3 linked regions of the Schizosaccharomyces pombe genome follow. The protein of the gene in region 2 binds, or shares a complex with, the protein of the main gene of each other region. Each region holds a gene or a part of one and is shown on either strand. Other genes may lie near its edges.

Evidence for each region.
Region 1: pdp3 (region 2) and ptf1 share a complex: the UniProt entries of both Schizosaccharomyces pombe proteins name them as parts of the mst2 complex.
Region 3: pdp3 (region 2) and mst2 share a complex: the UniProt entries of both Schizosaccharomyces pombe proteins name them as parts of the mst2 complex.

What each region holds. Positions count from the first base shown.
Region 1 is NC_003424.3:2,603,807-2,608,357, reverse strand, and holds ptf1 (phosphoric monoester hydrolase), read right to left. Parts: upstream 2,207-4,551; 5' UTR 2,174-2,206; coding exon 2,131-2,173; exon of another isoform or gene 2,080-2,130; coding exon 2,041-2,079; intron 1,985-2,040; exon of another isoform or gene 1,818-1,984; coding exon 1,745-1,817; exon of another isoform or gene 1,704-1,744; coding exon 1,169-1,703; 3' UTR 944-1,168; downstream 1-943. Other genes in the region: serine/threonine protein phosphatase PP2A catalytic subunit Ppa1, read right to left, coding at 1-255; protein She9, read left to right, coding at 3,146-4,099; vps11 (HOPs complex subunit Pep5/Vps11), read right to left, coding at 4,396-4,551. UniProt on the Schizosaccharomyces pombe protein: Component of the mst2 complex which is a highly specific H3 lysine 14 (H3K14) acetyltransferase that functions together with gcn5 to regulate global levels of H3K14 acetylation (H3K14ac), critical for DNA damage checkpoint activation.
Region 2 is NC_003424.3:4,334,875-4,339,689, reverse strand, and holds pdp3 (PWWP domain-containing protein), read right to left. Parts: upstream 2,610-4,815; 5' UTR 2,443-2,609; coding exon 1,219-2,442; downstream 1-1,218. Other genes in the region: DNA replication factor C complex subunit Rfc2, read right to left, coding at 1-822, 875-948; prp10 (U2 snRNP-associated protein SF3B1), read left to right, coding at 2,903-2,912, 2,964-3,068, 3,135-4,815. UniProt on the Schizosaccharomyces pombe protein: Component of the mst2 complex which is a highly specific H3 lysine 14 (H3K14) acetyltransferase that functions together with gcn5 to regulate global levels of H3K14 acetylation (H3K14ac), critical for DNA damage checkpoint activation.
Region 3 is NC_003424.3:2,361,987-2,368,600, reverse strand, and holds mst2 (histone acetyltransferase Mst2), read left to right. Parts: upstream 1-1,666; 5' UTR 1,667-1,767; coding exon 1,768-2,220; exon of another isoform or gene 2,221-2,336; coding exon 2,337-2,426; exon of another isoform or gene 2,427-2,473; coding exon 2,474-3,154; 3' UTR 3,155-3,206; coding exon of another isoform or gene 3,207-5,033; 3' UTR 5,034-5,102; downstream 5,103-6,614. Other genes in the region: protein kinase C (PKC)-like Pck1, read left to right, coding at 1-344, 400-601, 646-834, 876-1,059, 1,105-1,196; exocyst complex subunit Sec3, read right to left, coding at 3,207-5,033. UniProt on the Schizosaccharomyces pombe protein: Component of the mst2 complex which is a highly specific H3 lysine 14 (H3K14) acetyltransferase that functions together with gcn5 to regulate global levels of H3K14 acetylation (H3K14ac), critical for DNA damage checkpoint activation.

The sequences.
Region 1 (4,551 bases), 1.7 Mb from region 2:
ATCTCCCATAAACAAATAATTTGTATCAGGTGAAGGGCCGCCAATATTGAACAACTCCATTAAGTCATGGAATTGTCCATGAATATCACCACAAACCGTTACAGGGCATCGGACGCTTTGAACGTTTGATTCTACAGAAAGTACCTCTTTTGCGAGATCACACATTTGAATGACATCTTCCTCTGAAAGAGGTTCGCATCGACTCAACTGTTCAATCCAACGATCGACCTCTCCAATTTTTCCAGAGACAGACATCTTGTTGAAAAAAACTTAAAGCAATAGTTAATAAACGACTAAATTTTTAATTAAAAAGAAAAGCATCCACAGAAAAATCCATAAGGGCTTTTCCGTTTGTATGCTATCCTGCGTTGAGCATGCGTTTTTCAACTTCCCACTTACGAATTCACTGGATGACGGGGGTATTGTAAGCTTATTCACTTTCTTGACAAAATAATGGTGTCTGAGGTACGTTTACTGTACATATACTGTATTTTATTATTTATTCGTTCGTATGTGGGAAAGAGAAATATTATGTTTTACAGACACGGTGGGGAGTTAGGTGAAGAAAGAAAATGATGCGAGTACGGGAAAATTTGTATGAAGGTTGAAAGGTATGGTAGTAGACAGGATACATAAAGTCACAATATTTCATGTTTTAAATTTTATTTCAATTTATTAATAACCAAAATATTACAGACATGGATTTCGTAATAGCAATTTTTTCTGCAAGCCCCTTAAAACATCATTACAAGTTTCCTGACTTTGAGTAACTTTACCAAACCAAAATATAACAATATGCGTGATCTACATTATGTTATACTCGCTACCTTATTTCGGCGATCTCACGACCAAAAGACGCAAAATTTAATATCTCTTTATTTTCTTTCTTAAAAAAAATAAAGAGATATTGTAGCAATGCGACCACTTACGGACTGATATGATATAGGATTTTTCATACAAGACTCGCAAATGGATGAGTATATAAATACAAATTATGTTAAATCATTGCTTCTAACAACCCAAACTAATCGAACCGTTGGTGAATGATGCATTTAAATTGCTATGAGGACCTGCTTGAAACTAAGTTTCGAGGCGCTGATAACAAATATCTATCAACTTTAGGTATAAAAATGTTGAAGTACGAAAACTTCTTAGGTATTATTCAGATTTAACTGCTAAAGAATAATTTTTGCAAATCTTTATGGATATCAGCAAAGGTTTCGAATTCAGAGAAAGAAATTTTCTCCCTTTCACAATATTTAATTAAATCACGTCCTTTCTTGGCAAACAAGTGTTCTGTTTCCTTCGCAGCACTCAAATCGGAAACACCATCTCCGCAATAGACCATGTGAGGACGTTTACTTTCTGGCAATTGAGCATACGGACGGATAGTAAGGCTTTTGTCGTGTCCAAAATGACTGTCATCATGATACACAATGTTCCATTGACCATCAGGATGCACATTGATGTCATTAGAAACAATTTCAATACTACTTGCTTCTTCTTTGCCAAGGTATTGCTCAAAAAGTGCACGAATAAAAGGCTCCATACCACTTGAAAGGATGATTACACGAATGTCTTGAGACTTACACCATTCATAGAATGGTTTAAATGATGGATCAATGGCGACATTCTTCTTGAGAACCTCCAAAGCTTCATCATAGCTTAAATGCACTGAATCCAACATCTTCGCGAAAGCATCACTATGAATTGTTAAGAGTTGATTTACGCGTCAAACGCTTACCGAAAAGAAATGGAACCGTCAAGAACTTGTTGATTTAGATTCACACGGTTGGCGTTGCCCATTCCAAAGTTGTCTAAAACATAGTTAGTAAACCGTCGCCGTCGAGTGTTGCAGTAATAAAGCATTCAAGGTGGGCAGGGAAATTTTTGACCCAATGTTATAAAATCATAGATTTCTCTTACAGATTTTCGTAAATCTTCAATAAATATTCAGTTAAGCTTAATTGTAAGAACATTTTCTAACTACCTTTATACATCTTTTTATATCTGTAACAATCTTCCTATTCCCAACCTTACCAGTTAAGTAGTCATTGGAATCCTGGAGTGTAATAGTTCCTAGACCCCAAAAGTTAGTTGTCTGTTTTTATTGAAATTATTTTTTCATACCGTCAAAGTCACTGAATACGTATAACTGCTTTTTCTGAGCCATAGTCCAAATCTTTTTGAATTGCTGAAATTGCTTGCTTTGTACAGCTATCCAACTCTAGGATTTAAAGTAACGAAACTTACCAGCACTGATATAAAGTTTGTTGTTTATTCCGTGATTAGCAAGCAGTCGTTTGTTCGAGTCATGATAAATGTCATATTTTATCTTTTATATGCAAAAAAATGAAATTCTTAAAGTAATTTACAGTCTTCTTTATTTTAAAGGGCTGCAGATTAAAAATCGAAATTAGTGTAGAGGTTGAATTAACTTAAAGCATATATTTATCAAAGAAAAGAAATGATATTCTATATTTCTGCAAGGGGTAAACGATATCCTCAGTACGTTTTACCATAAATCCTAAGAAAAGTGGCCCAAGCCTTGTAAAGTGAAGTGTAATTTTTTTTTTTTTTGTTTTTTCTTTTTAAATTTCAAATGCTTTTTACATCTACAACATTCTCTCAAGCGTGAGTTTCGCTTATCCTAATGTTAGCTACGCAGTTTCGTATTCGTTTTAATGATACGTAGAACTGCGGTGAGTTTTCCTTGTGACCTATAATATCGCAATACACAGATAATATAAGTAGCAACTGAGTGTAGGTATTGTATTAACAAGGTTATAATGTTACCTATCACTGGTATAGCTTGTAACTGAACTGAGGAACGAGGTTTAGCAGTAGCTCTATTTATAGTATTCAGATGATATAAATATTAATAGATTATCATTAAGATCAGTCTCAATATCGTATCATACATAGTACGATATTTAATTAGGACATGTGACATATAGTGATACGCAACGTAAGTATTATAGCGTATTATAGTATTGCTGATACCTAACTATAAATAGCATATTCTAAGCTGTTTATGAATATTTCCGTAAACCAGCTTTATGGCTGGTGCAGCAGTACATTATGTTTAACTCACTATATGAAGACATGAAAGGATATAACAGTAATGTATAAGTATTAAGAAAGTATGTTGCAACGACTTTCTCAGTCTATTAAGGGATTTGCTGCTCGCTTTCCCAAAATCTATAATAAAGGAAATGGATCAGTTCAACAGACTATACTCCAAGCGAGTCAACGCTTGAATGAATTAACTGGTTATTCCTCCATTGAGGCATTAAAGAACGCGGTTGTAAAGCAGGAGACAAAGCTCCGTGATTTTAGATTATCTGCAGCTGAAGCAAGAAAGCGTTATATTGAAGCGGTTGAAAAAAGATCGTCAAGTCAACGTGAAGTCAACGAATTGTTACAACGACGTAGTAGCTGGTCTACTATTGATTTAGAAAGATTTACTAAACTATACCGTGATGATTATTCAAACAAAGAAGAAGAAATTAAGGCTCAAGAAGATGTGGATGTAGCGGAAAGGCGGGTAGAGGAAGCTCAAAATGGATTGGTGCGTTCGATTTTATCGAGATACCACGAAGAACAAGTTTGGAGTGATAAAATCCGGCAAGCAAGTACCTGGGGTACATGGGGATTAATGGGAATTAACGTTGTTCTTTTTGTGGTCGTTCAACTAATATTGGAACCAAGGAAAAGGAAACGGTTGGTTCGTGAAGCTGTGGATCACATTGACAAGGAACGAGAACTTGAAATAAATGATGAACTGAAAAAGATTTCCGAGAAACTTGATAAAAAAGGTGAAGCTGTCGGCCAAGCATTAGAGCTTACTTCTCCGAAAATTGACAATAAAAACCTTCCCAAAAATTCTGCGTCCTTAATTCTTCCTCCTATTAATTACGATACGTTTCACTCTTTTTTGGATTCGCTAAAATATTTCCTATCTCGCTTTTTGTCTACAGACTACCGCATTCAATTGACTTATCGTCAACTGTCTATTCTGGCGACCAAATTTACGGTAGGCGGTGGAGTTATTATTTACACCTTTATTCACTTGTTTGGTTTAGCATTCAAGCGTTGAATTATTTACATTAACAATCGTTAATTACAAGATTTTATGGTAAAGGTTTTATAGATTACAAGTTTTAAAAAGAGCAGATATTTGCGTTATGAGCAAAGCAGATGTATATCTTCATTTATTCAAACTAAGAAACCTTATCAGAGAATCCAAGTGTAACTACCTAATTCCATTTTGCCAAAAAAAATATTAATGAAATATTCTTAATCATAATTTTGACTTGAGTAACTTATTTCGTACAATAAATAATGCATTACTTCCATTCTTTCTTTGTATTTAATTTTCATATTTTTGACTCATTATAACCATCGACAACGAATACATTCATCTTCAACACACCGCTGATGATACGAATGTCCACAGCGAAAATGTACCATAGGTAACTCTAAATCGATTCCACAGGTAGAGCATTTAGACTCTTGCACGACAAATGCTCTTGTACGAAGAATTGAAAG
Region 2 (4,815 bases):
GTCTCTTCTTTTAATAGCACATCGTGTAATTGGGATAATATTATTCCTGTCGAATATCCTTCCGCAGCAACATCACGAGATAAAGTTTCAATGTTAGATACATTTTTGGTATATGCTGTGTCTAATAAAGAGCGTATAATGTTATATGGTACAGCTCCCGCTAATTCCTCTACACTGGAAATAGTGATTGGCGTACCCTGATGAAGATTTGCAGCACTCTGAAGAAAAGTAATGGCCTTTCGCATATCACCGCCAGAGCATTCTACCAATGCATTGACAACTCCAGGCTCCATGCTAACAGCTTGGTCAGCAGCTATAAATTCTAATCTTTTAACCATGTTTTCGTTGTCTAACGGTTTAAATCGATACTTGCTACAGCGACTGCTAAGAGGATCAATAATCCTGGTCATGTAGTTACAGATCAGGCAAAACCTAGTGATCCTGGCATACGACTCCATAGTTCGTCGAAGAGCAGCCTGAGCATCCTGAGTCATAGAATCTGCCTCATCCAAAATTATAATTTTAAAAGGAGGACAAGGATAACCGTCGACTTTGTTGGTTACGGTTGTTTTTGCAAAAGACTTGACTTTCTCCCGAATAATAGAGATACCGCGTTCATCAGAAGCATTCAATTCCAAAACCCTTGATTTCATCAATTGCGGTCCAAATAGCTCACGAGACAAAGCTAGAATGGTTGACGTCTTTCCAGTACCAGGAGAGCCATAAAACAACATGTGAGGTAAGTTATTAGATAAAAGTGTTTTTTTTAATACTTGTACAGTAGATTCTTGAGAGGAAACTTGGTCCAATGTCTTGGGACGACTACATACGTGTTAATGTTATTGTTCTTAAAAAGTATTCTCTATTTACATACTAAAGCTCAACCCAAGGTATTGATTTCTTTGCTTCCTGCTCCGTTTTCTTATTCCTTGGAGCAAAGAAAGACATTTTTTTTAAATTAGTATACACGAGATATCGCAAGTAAAAAAAAAAAACACTGACGGTACCTACTACGAAATGGTAGTAAGCAATGCTTGTTCTTGCTTACATACTAGGATAACGTATTGTAACGATTTGTACCATAAACACATTGAGTCGCGCTAATAATGCGTTCTATATTAATGAAAATGTTGGAAGCAAATATTATCGTAACATTAAATGTAAACAAGATTAGTTATGTAATTCGATAACAAAAGCATATGAATGTATGATCAAAAGTTAGGTAGTGATGACAGATGGTCTGGCAGCTTCTGTGTTCACTTGAGCATTCTTTCCAATGGGCGCTGTAGATACATTACTTGTCATGGTTTTGGGCTGAACGAATGCTTGGAATTGAAGGAGAAGAGTCGAAAATCGTGAAGAAAAGTCATATTTTTCATCCAACGGTATGTCGCTTAATTTAACAAGCAAAGTAAAAAGTGAATACAACTTGGTTGATTCTAATAGTTCAGAATTTATTGCGCTGAAATTCTCAATCATCTCCAATATTTGGTGCACATGAGACATATCCGATTCTTGAGGATAATGATTATATGACAGTAGGATTTCTTGTAGTTGGTAGCGGTAATATAAAAGAGTATTAAATCGAATATAATGAACTTGAGCATACATATCTACAGTACTTATAGGCTGAGCCAATTGATATTCAAGTGAAAATTTTGGTAATTCCTCTAAAGAACCGGCAAACCTTACTCTTTTTTTGGCTGTTTTCTTGGGAGAAGGAATTGGAGATGGGGATTTCTGAGCGTTGTCTGTAGCCATCCTAACTCGAGCTGACCTACGTGAAGGTCGTTGCTTCGATGTTTGAGAAATTTCTGCCGACGATTTCTCATTTTTTAACCTTTTACCCCCGTCAATTTTAGGTGTGGCTTCTATCTTTTCCTTTTTTGGTTTCTCGATGGGCTTTTGAAGTTTTTTACGAGTATTCTCTGGTTCAAACTCATCCTCTTCGACATCAGAAAAAGAAACTTTTCTCTTTACGGAAGCAATGATGAGACCTACCGTCTTTTGGATATACTTTGTCGATAAATCATGGTCCAAAATAAACCTTGATTCATCAACAGTTAAGGGCAAAACATTTGAAGAAGAAATAATAGCGTAATCTCTTGAAGGAAGAAACTGAACAAATATTCCATTGTCCATTCGAAAATTTCGTTTCAATCGTTCGCGTACCTCAGTGGGTATTGATTTTTGGCTCGCTACTCTGGCTGGCCACCATGGGAAGCTACTCATCTTTGCTAAAACATATTCCCCATTTTTATATGATTTCCTTGGTGACGTCCTCGGAACATACGCTAATTGTTTACCTTTCTTTTTAACATCACGCAGATTTTTCGTATTAGAAGTCTGTTGCCCGGTGGCCTTTTTTTTTGTTTTAATCTTCTTCTGGTTATTAATCTCTTCAAGCTTTCTTTTTTGACTGCGTGTCCTAGCAACCATCATCGTTAATTACATTCCTTATAAGCCAAACTTCACATTAAAGCGATATAGTGCTGAATTTTTCCAAAGAGATTTTACATCAATTTGTAAAGGTTCCACCAAATATTAGGATATACAAGTAGAAACCGTAAGACGCTTGTCTATTATCAATTAATTGCAGCAACGCTTACAAGATCTACAATAGCAGAGGGGGGGGGTGCTAAAAGCTTGAGCTGTTGCAATATGATACCTCGATATTTCAATATCATTCCTCATACTAATTTTTTCGATAGTATATATTTCTTTCGCAAATAAATCTTAATAAAGAGGGTTAAACTAAATAAGACACGTTAATCTTATCGTTATTCTACAAAACGAGTTACTGTATTGTACTTTAAAATATTGATAACGAAGCTTAGAATGCTTTGAGTATATTTAAATGAGTATAAGACGCGCAACATGAAAGCATTTCTTCGCCATCAACATGTCAACTGGTACGTATCCTTATAAAATGTTCAAAATGGATGTTACTAACCTAAATAAAGTAGAAGATGTGGAAATAGAAAGGCTTCGTGCTGAAAGAGAACTTTTGCGAAGACAAAAAGAGGCAGCGAAGAATTCGTCGACAAATGGAAGTGTAAATATTGAAGGTACCCAGGATTCTAATGATTTACAATATAATGCTCATCTTTTTAAGTCCAGTAACCCAAAAGAAGAATATGACTCCGCAATTGACGTGCGCAATGATATCTCTCAGGATGAAGACGATTATAAACGTACAAACGATGTTAATGATAGTTATCGTTTAGTGCGTCAATATGAAGCACCTAAGGAACTACTAAATGAATACGCTGATGAAAGTTATGACCCTATGCAAGAGAGACAGTCAAAAAAGCAAATTCAGGATCGCGAGTCAGATTATCAAAAGCAGCGTTATGATAGACAGCTTACTCCAACCCGCGTAGATGCTTTTCAACCTGATGGGACACAGAGCAATGGAAGATCTTATGCGGAGGTTATGCGGCAGGTTGAATTAGAAAAGGAAGAGCGACGAGTTCATATGGAATTAAATCAAAGACGTCGTGAAGGAACACTAAAAGAGGTGGAGGAGGAGGAAAGCATATCGGACAAAAAAAGAGAACTAGAGCTTAATAATACGGAAATATCTCAGAAGCCTAAACGCTCTCGTTGGGATCAGGCTCCACCTAGCGTTACGCAGGTTTCCACTACTAAGCGTAGATCACGTTGGGACAAAGCTCCTGAAAACTTCACTATATCTGAACATGTTATAGAAAACGGAATTTCTGAAGATCTTATTAATAAGGAAGTAAATGTAGTAGAAGAAAAATTACGACCTCCTGTCCGTTTATTAACTGAAGAAGAGTTAAATGAGCTTTTGCCGTCAGAAGGCTATGCTATTTTGGAGCCTCCTCCTGGATATTTAGAATCAATTCATCCTGAACTACTTCAAAAAGGTACTACGCTCGATACATATCACGTTCCACAAGAGCAAGAGCTTCCTTTAGAAAAAGAATTACCAGCTGCATTGCCTACAGAAATACCCGGTGTAGGTGATTTAGCTTTTTTTAAGCAAGAAGATGTTAAATATTTTGGCAAGTTACTCAAGGTGGAGGACGAGGCCAAGCTTACAATTGCGGAACTTCGTGAACGTAAAATTTTGAGATTACTTCTGAAAGTAAAAAATGGTACTCCTCCCATGCGTAAGAGTGCATTACGCCAGCTTACGGATCAAGCTCGCGACTTTGGTGCAGCTGCTTTATTTAATCAGATTCTTCCGTTGTTAATGGAACGAACACTGGAAGATCAGGAGCGCCATCTTTTAGTTAAGGTTATTGATCGTATATTATACAAATTGGATGATCTGGTTCGCCCTTTTACTCATAAAATTCTCGTAGTTATTGAACCCCTTCTTATTGATGAAGATTACTATGCACGTGCTGAAGGTCGGGAAATCATTAGTAACTTAGCTAAAGCTTCCGGCTTGGCTCATATGATTGCTACAATGAGACCTGACATTGATCATGTCGACGAATATGTCCGAAACACCACAGCCCGTGCCTTTTCGGTTGTTGCCTCTGCACTAGGCGTGCCGGCTCTTTTACCTTTTTTAAAAGCTGTTTGTAGAAGTAAGAAATCATGGCAAGCCAGGCATACTGGCGTTCGGATTATTCAACAGATTGCTCTGTTATTAGGATGCTCTATTTTACCACACTTAAAAAATTTAGTTGATTGTATTGGTCACGGCCTTGAAGATGAACAACAAAAAGTACGAATTATGACAGCTTTGTCCTTATCGGCTTTAGCTGAAGCTGCTACTCCTTACGGTATTGAAGCTTTTGACAGCGTTTTAAAGCCATTATGGTCAGGAGTCCAAAG
Region 3 (6,614 bases), 2.0 Mb from region 2:
AGAGAGAAAAAGAATCGTGTTACGCTTGACGACTTCACATTTTTGGCTGTATTAGGGAAAGGCAATTTTGGCAAGGTTATGTTGGCTGAATATAAAGTGAATAAAAAGTTTTATGCCATCAAAGTTCTGAAAAAAGAAGCCATTTTAAAGAATGAGGAACTAGAGAGTTTAAAAACTGAAAAGCATGTTTTCGAAGTCGCGAATAAAGAAAAACATCCGTTCTTGCTGAATCTTTTTGCAAGCTTTCAAACTAGTACCAGGGTTTACTTCGTTATGGAATATATTCTTGGTGGTGACCTTATGGTTCATATTCAACGTCAACAGTTTAGCGTGAAACGTGCAAGGTAGTACTTCAATCTTTATTTTTATTTTTATTTTTATTTTTTATTAACCCCATAGATTTTATGGTGCTGAGGTTTGTTTAGCATTGAAGTATTTTCATGAGAATGGAATTGCTTACCGTGATTTGAAATTGGATAATATTCTACTTTGTCCTGATGGTCATATACGAATTGCTGATTATGGACTCTGCAAAGAAAATATGTTGCTTGGCAATACAACTTCCACCTTTTGTGGTACCCCCGAATTCATGGCTCCAGAAGTAAGGCGGAACTTGTTTTGGTTTATTTTATCTAACGAAAATAGATTTTATTAGAACAGCAATATTCCAAGGATGTTGATTGGTGGGCTTTTGGCGTTTTGATGTATCAAATGTTACTGGGTCAATCCCCTTTCAAAGGTGAAGATGAAGAGGAAATATTCGATGCGATTTTAAGCGATGAACCGTTGTTTCCGATTAATATGCCAGCGGATGCGGTTTCGTTATTGAGAGGGGTATGCAAATTTCTAAATATGTTAACTAATTCAAAAAATAGCTTTTAACAAGAGATCCAAATCAACGACTTGGTAGTGGACCAAAAGACGCAAACGAGGTTATGGCTCATCCTTTCTTTGCTAGTATTGTCTGGGATGACTTGTATAACAAACTTTATGAACCATCATATAAACCGCTTATCAACGATCCCCGAGACCTCAATAATTTTGATGAAGAATTTACAAGTATGACAATTGTTAAAATATGGTTAATTACTAACGATCGATTAGGTGCATGTCCAACTTTGACACCTGTCAATACTGTTCTCACACGACAACAACAAGAGTGTTTCAGAGGATTTTCCAGTTTTGCTACTGAATAGAATTAGCTTGTCCTTTGCTTCTGCTTTTTTAAAATTAGAAAATTATGGTAACAATTTCATATAGTTCTGATGCTGCTTCCTTTGCATTCTTACACTTAATTTAGTGTACTCACCCTTTACATGATATTTTTTTTACTTTTCTACGTGTTCATATTTAAAAAATTTCTGCATTTATCATCATTACATTACTTGAAAATAAAGTCGAAATTAGAGAATAATTAAAGTGGCATTAAAACTACTAATGTAAAACTTATCGTTGAATCACCCAAGGTGACTTTGTAGTATTTATACGCAACGTTTGTAATGGCATTCAATCAAAAAGCTAACAGTGAAGTTATGAATGGTTACTGTTTCAGAATACAAAAGTAAAAAATATGAGTAGTTTTTTATTTAACAAGAGTGAAAGGGTTATCTTTGCAGAGATCGGATGGAGGTGGAAGTAAAGCAAGAACTAAGAAGAGAATGAGGGCACTACCACCAACTCAATTATATTGACCAAAGGATTAAATGGGGCCATTAGGAAAACTATGAACGATCTGTAAATATAAACAATCTTTTTTTTTTATGTATAATGCCGGCGACTATTTTGAAATCCACAGCCAGTTCAAAGACTTTGTTAATAATAAAGTTTGATACAAACTCCTCCAGATATCCATTTTATAAGAAACATTTATTAGAGTTAAATTCGGAAAGTACTTTTTTGGGTCTATTAACTAAAGGGCAAGCTGACACATCGATTACGAGACTCAACCAAGACGATGTGAGGCTGTTTGAAAAAGCAAAGACAGTAGCAGATAGGACAAAGGATGTGGCTTATTCATTTTCCGATCCTATTTTATCTACACAGTTGCGAACGCCTCCACCACAACCAACCTCCATTCGATACCTCTATTTTGGTACTTACCGGATAAAACCATGGTATACATCACCGTATCCAGAGGAGTATAGCTGTGCAAAAAATTTATATATATGCGAATCTTGTTTAAAGTATATGAACAGTGATCATGTACTACAAAGGCACAAGGTAAACAACTTTTCAAGTAAGATCATAATGTTATTCGCTATTGCTTGAGTTTAAACGAGGTGTACATTAAAAGATCATAATCTATCCAAATTGAATTTACGGACTAACATAATCAGATGAAATGCTCATGGAGTTATCCACCAGGAGATGAAATATATCGGGATAAGAATATATCAATTTTTGAAGTTGATGGTCAACGGCAACCGGTAAGTAATTTTTTATGCATTTTATACTTATTGATGTTTTTCCTTAGATATATTGTCAAAATTTATGTCTTCTAGCAAAGATGTTTCTTCATTCAAAAATGCTGTACTATGACGTTGAACCGTTTCTTTTCTATGTATTGACTGAATTTGATGGCCAAGAATGCAAAGTTATTGGATATTTCAGTAAAGAGAAACGCTCGGCTTCTGATTATAACGTTTCCTGTATATTAACATTACCCATTTACCAACGCCGAGGATATGGTGTCTTTTTGATTGATTTTAGTTATTTACTTACACAGGTAGAAGGTAAGCTTGGATCACCTGAAAAGCCACTTTCAGATTTAGGCCTCGTTACGTACCGAAGCTATTGGAAAATGAGAGTAGCCAAAGCTCTATTGGAAATCACAACACCGATTAGCATAAATGCTATCGCCAAATCAACATCTATGGTATGCGACGATGTTATATCCACATTGGAATCGTTATCTGTATTTAAGTATGATCCGCTCAAAAAGAAATATGTATTACAACTGAAACGGGATGAACTTGAGAATGTTTATAAAGCTTGGAATATCAAACACCCTCAAAGAGTAAATCCAAAACTTCTAAGATGGACGCCATATCTCGGAGAAGAGCAGATATCTAACCTTTTACTTAAAGAAAATATACTTATTCCTCTACCTCAAAAGCGTCTATTAGATAACTCTCATCATCTGGATTCCGTTTAGTTCAAATAAATAAGTATTTTAATCTTTCGATATTTGTCGTGAAGCATTTGTATCATCTACGGCTTGGTTGTTGCTCTATATTAATGACGCCATTTAATGCAGTAGACAACTCTAGGGAAAATAAGTTGATGGTTGAATTGATAGACTCACAACCTAAAGCACAATCTTGAAGTTGGCTCTTAATGTTTTGCAATTCGATTTCTTCTTCAGCAAGGTTTTCCACACTGCTTATGATAGCTCCATCAAACGAAAATTCTGTTTGTTTCAATACATCTTTTATAGTTGTACCTTCATTCCACTTCAAAGTGGAAAGACGAGAAATGCTTTGCTCCGGAATGTTTTTGAGGTTGATTTTTGAGTTAAGATCGTAAACTTTTTCAACAGAAGCTTGGTGCGGTTTAGTCGGAATGGAAGTAACAAGAGTTTTCTTGGCTTTTGGCTTGGAAGTGGTTTTTCTATTTTCAAAGCGCAAACTTTCAAAAAGGGGAAGAAGTTCATTTCCTATAGAAGGCTCGTCGTTTGGTGGTTCGATTTGTTTACCAGTCGAAGGAGTTGCCCGAACAGTTGGCTGACGGGACGGGTGCTTTGGAGGTAATTTAGGAATAGCCGGTGCTCCTGTTGGTTTTCGAGAAACAGACTTTGCTGATACTTTAGACGAACTGGAAGGCTTGTAAGATGACGTTAATACTGAAGGAGTTTCTAAGCTAGAAGATAAAGCTGCCTGGGTAGCATCACGATCCACTTTACTAAAATCGCTAGCAAATGTGTTTGACTCCAAAGAAGAGCTTAGTTTCACGTCTTTTTGAGACATATTATACTTACCAGCTTCTAGTGCCAAAGCTGTATTTTTCTCGTAAGAACCACTGATGCTATTCTTACCCCTTTCCGAAGAACTCGTTCCACTGTTAAATGAGGGTGCTTGTTCACGACGAGTAGTTTTACGTAAAGAAGGTTTAGATGGAAACAATTGAGCTTGTTCTTGAATAAACATTTCCCGTGTTTGATTATCTCGTCTTTGAGTTGAAGTATCGAATAAGACATCATCTTTTCGGTCTCCTGAAGTCCTTGCAATGGCAGAAGAACTTGAAATTTCTATAACATCACTATGGGCAGATGATGGGGTCCCCCGGGAAACGTTGGAAGAAGGCTTATTGTCAGAAAACCGTCTTTCTTTTTCAACACTCAACTTCTTTTTGGCTGATCGAGAAGAATCAATAGTGAGCTTCTTCTCGATGCGAGGCTGATCCGTTTCTAAATTGGTAACAATTGGGCCGTCCGAAAAATTACGGTTATGTGCGACTCGAGAGTTAAAAGATGAGGAAACTTGTTCTGAAGAATTTTCAGGTAATGATGACCTTGCTTTAGGAATAGCTAGGCTCTTTGCAGGATAGAGATTAGGTTTGTTATCAGCAAAGGAATTACGATAGGCCCAGTCCACTTTGCGGCCATCAGTCGTAGTCACTGAAAGCGGCCTGCCCATATAGTACATATAATTTTTAGCAACAGAAAAAACAAATCGATCGCGAGCAGAAGTGTCCTGAGTTCGCAACAAATGTGGCTTGTTTATTGTCATAGTAACATCATGATCATTAATTACAGTAATATTCTGCAACTCAAATAAAGGCCAGGATTTCACGACTGTCATTCCGCCTTTATCATTTACTTTCAATCTGTGTATATAAAAAATACGAGTCACATCATCACAAGTCAAAGCAATGTAGCGGGGTTTCATCTTTGAGCCAACAACATTAACTCCTCTTTCTTCCTCCACCGGAAGATATGCTAATGATTGCTCATGAGCTTTCCGTTTATCGGTAGTTTGAGCCGAATTGACAGCTTGTAGAATTTCTTGTTCAACGGCATTAGGGTTAGAAGCCATTCGTCTGAAGTGGTGTATTAAATGAAAAAAATTGGGTTAAATAGATAAATATTAACAAAAAAAAAACCATTAATTAAACATTCTACCACTTTCCAATGGCAAGTAATACTGAAAGCGCCTTATTCAACGGAAAAACAAATTTTCTAAGGAAACGAGACTTTTTTTTAATTCACAGAGTCTTTATAAGCAAGGGATAAAATTTTCTTGTAAAATTGAATTCTAGCGGTAAAGAAATATATAAATTTGATAATAATTTTTACAATTGTGGTGGAATGGTGGGTTAATAAGGAGAAATGTCAAAACGTAAACAAGTGACATATGTAGGCAAATGCTATAGAAGTCGATTTTTTAAAGTTTATTTAAACTTGCAAGCATTGTCTACGTTCATAATATTTATATATATTTAAACATCTTTAAATATTTTTGCTGTGCATGAAAAGTACAATAATCCATAACTTTTTTGTTGATGACTTCGCTGTACTTTATGGCAGCTTTGTTTATTCGACGAGCTTAAAAAATCCAAATTATTGAAACAGGAAACACATTGATAGCCATAGTGTAATTCTAATTGCATAACCAGCAACGTTTAAAATGGTTAGCTATAGTTAAGTATTAGTACTACGCAGGACAATAATTATCCGCTCATTTCCACATCCTGTAGAACTTATAAAAGTGTGTTACACAATGAGCATCTTGCAACGAATACTAGATATTTATAGTAACATGCTAGGGATTCTTATTACACTGTTTGGTACAATTACAGACCCATAATCAAAGCATTGAACGAACCAAAGACTTCGCGACAGCCAAAGTTAAAACCTAGTAGATTTGAACAGTACAATTAAGACTATGTATTTTATTTCTTCGTTATCGTAAAAAATATCTTGACCTGTATCCATGGTGATAGAATTTGCACAAAAATCAGCTGTTTTGCATACTCATATATATAATGCTATTGGGACCACGCGCTTCCTCCATAAGCAAACTTCTATCATATAACTTCATAGTAGACAAATCAGGATGCCGTTAACGTTGGCTTTGCGATGAATAACTTGAAGAGTAAAATGTTTAAAAGCTAAGCATCTTTGCTAGGACCTTTTAGCAATGACTTTAAGAGGTACCTTGCTAAAATTAACAGCTTACAAAGCACAATTTACTTTTTTTTTGAGTCCAAAATATGTAAAGAAATAAATGAAATCAAATTGGGTGTATTGTTTCTTTACGTATTTGCCATACAGTTTACAAAATGTCAATGCGCTCAATCGCAAATAGGGTACATGTGACTTGGTGGCTTTTTTTGTTGGGAAGGCTAAACTTTCCGCAACCAAGCCCAAATACTTCTTCAATTTGCATAACTTGTACAGCAGCTGGATGGTATTACTGTAGCATTGTTTTTATCTCTATAAAATCAGAATTTTCTTCTTTTTTTAATTACTCTCTCAGAAGTGTTGGCTTCAAATCAATCTCTTAAAAGTTTTAGTTTTTACCCCCCCTCCAATTGACAATTCTTGTCTAGTCCAAGTTTGTCGTCTGCTATTACTGGCATTTTCAATAATTTTTATTTATTTTTTTTATTTTTTC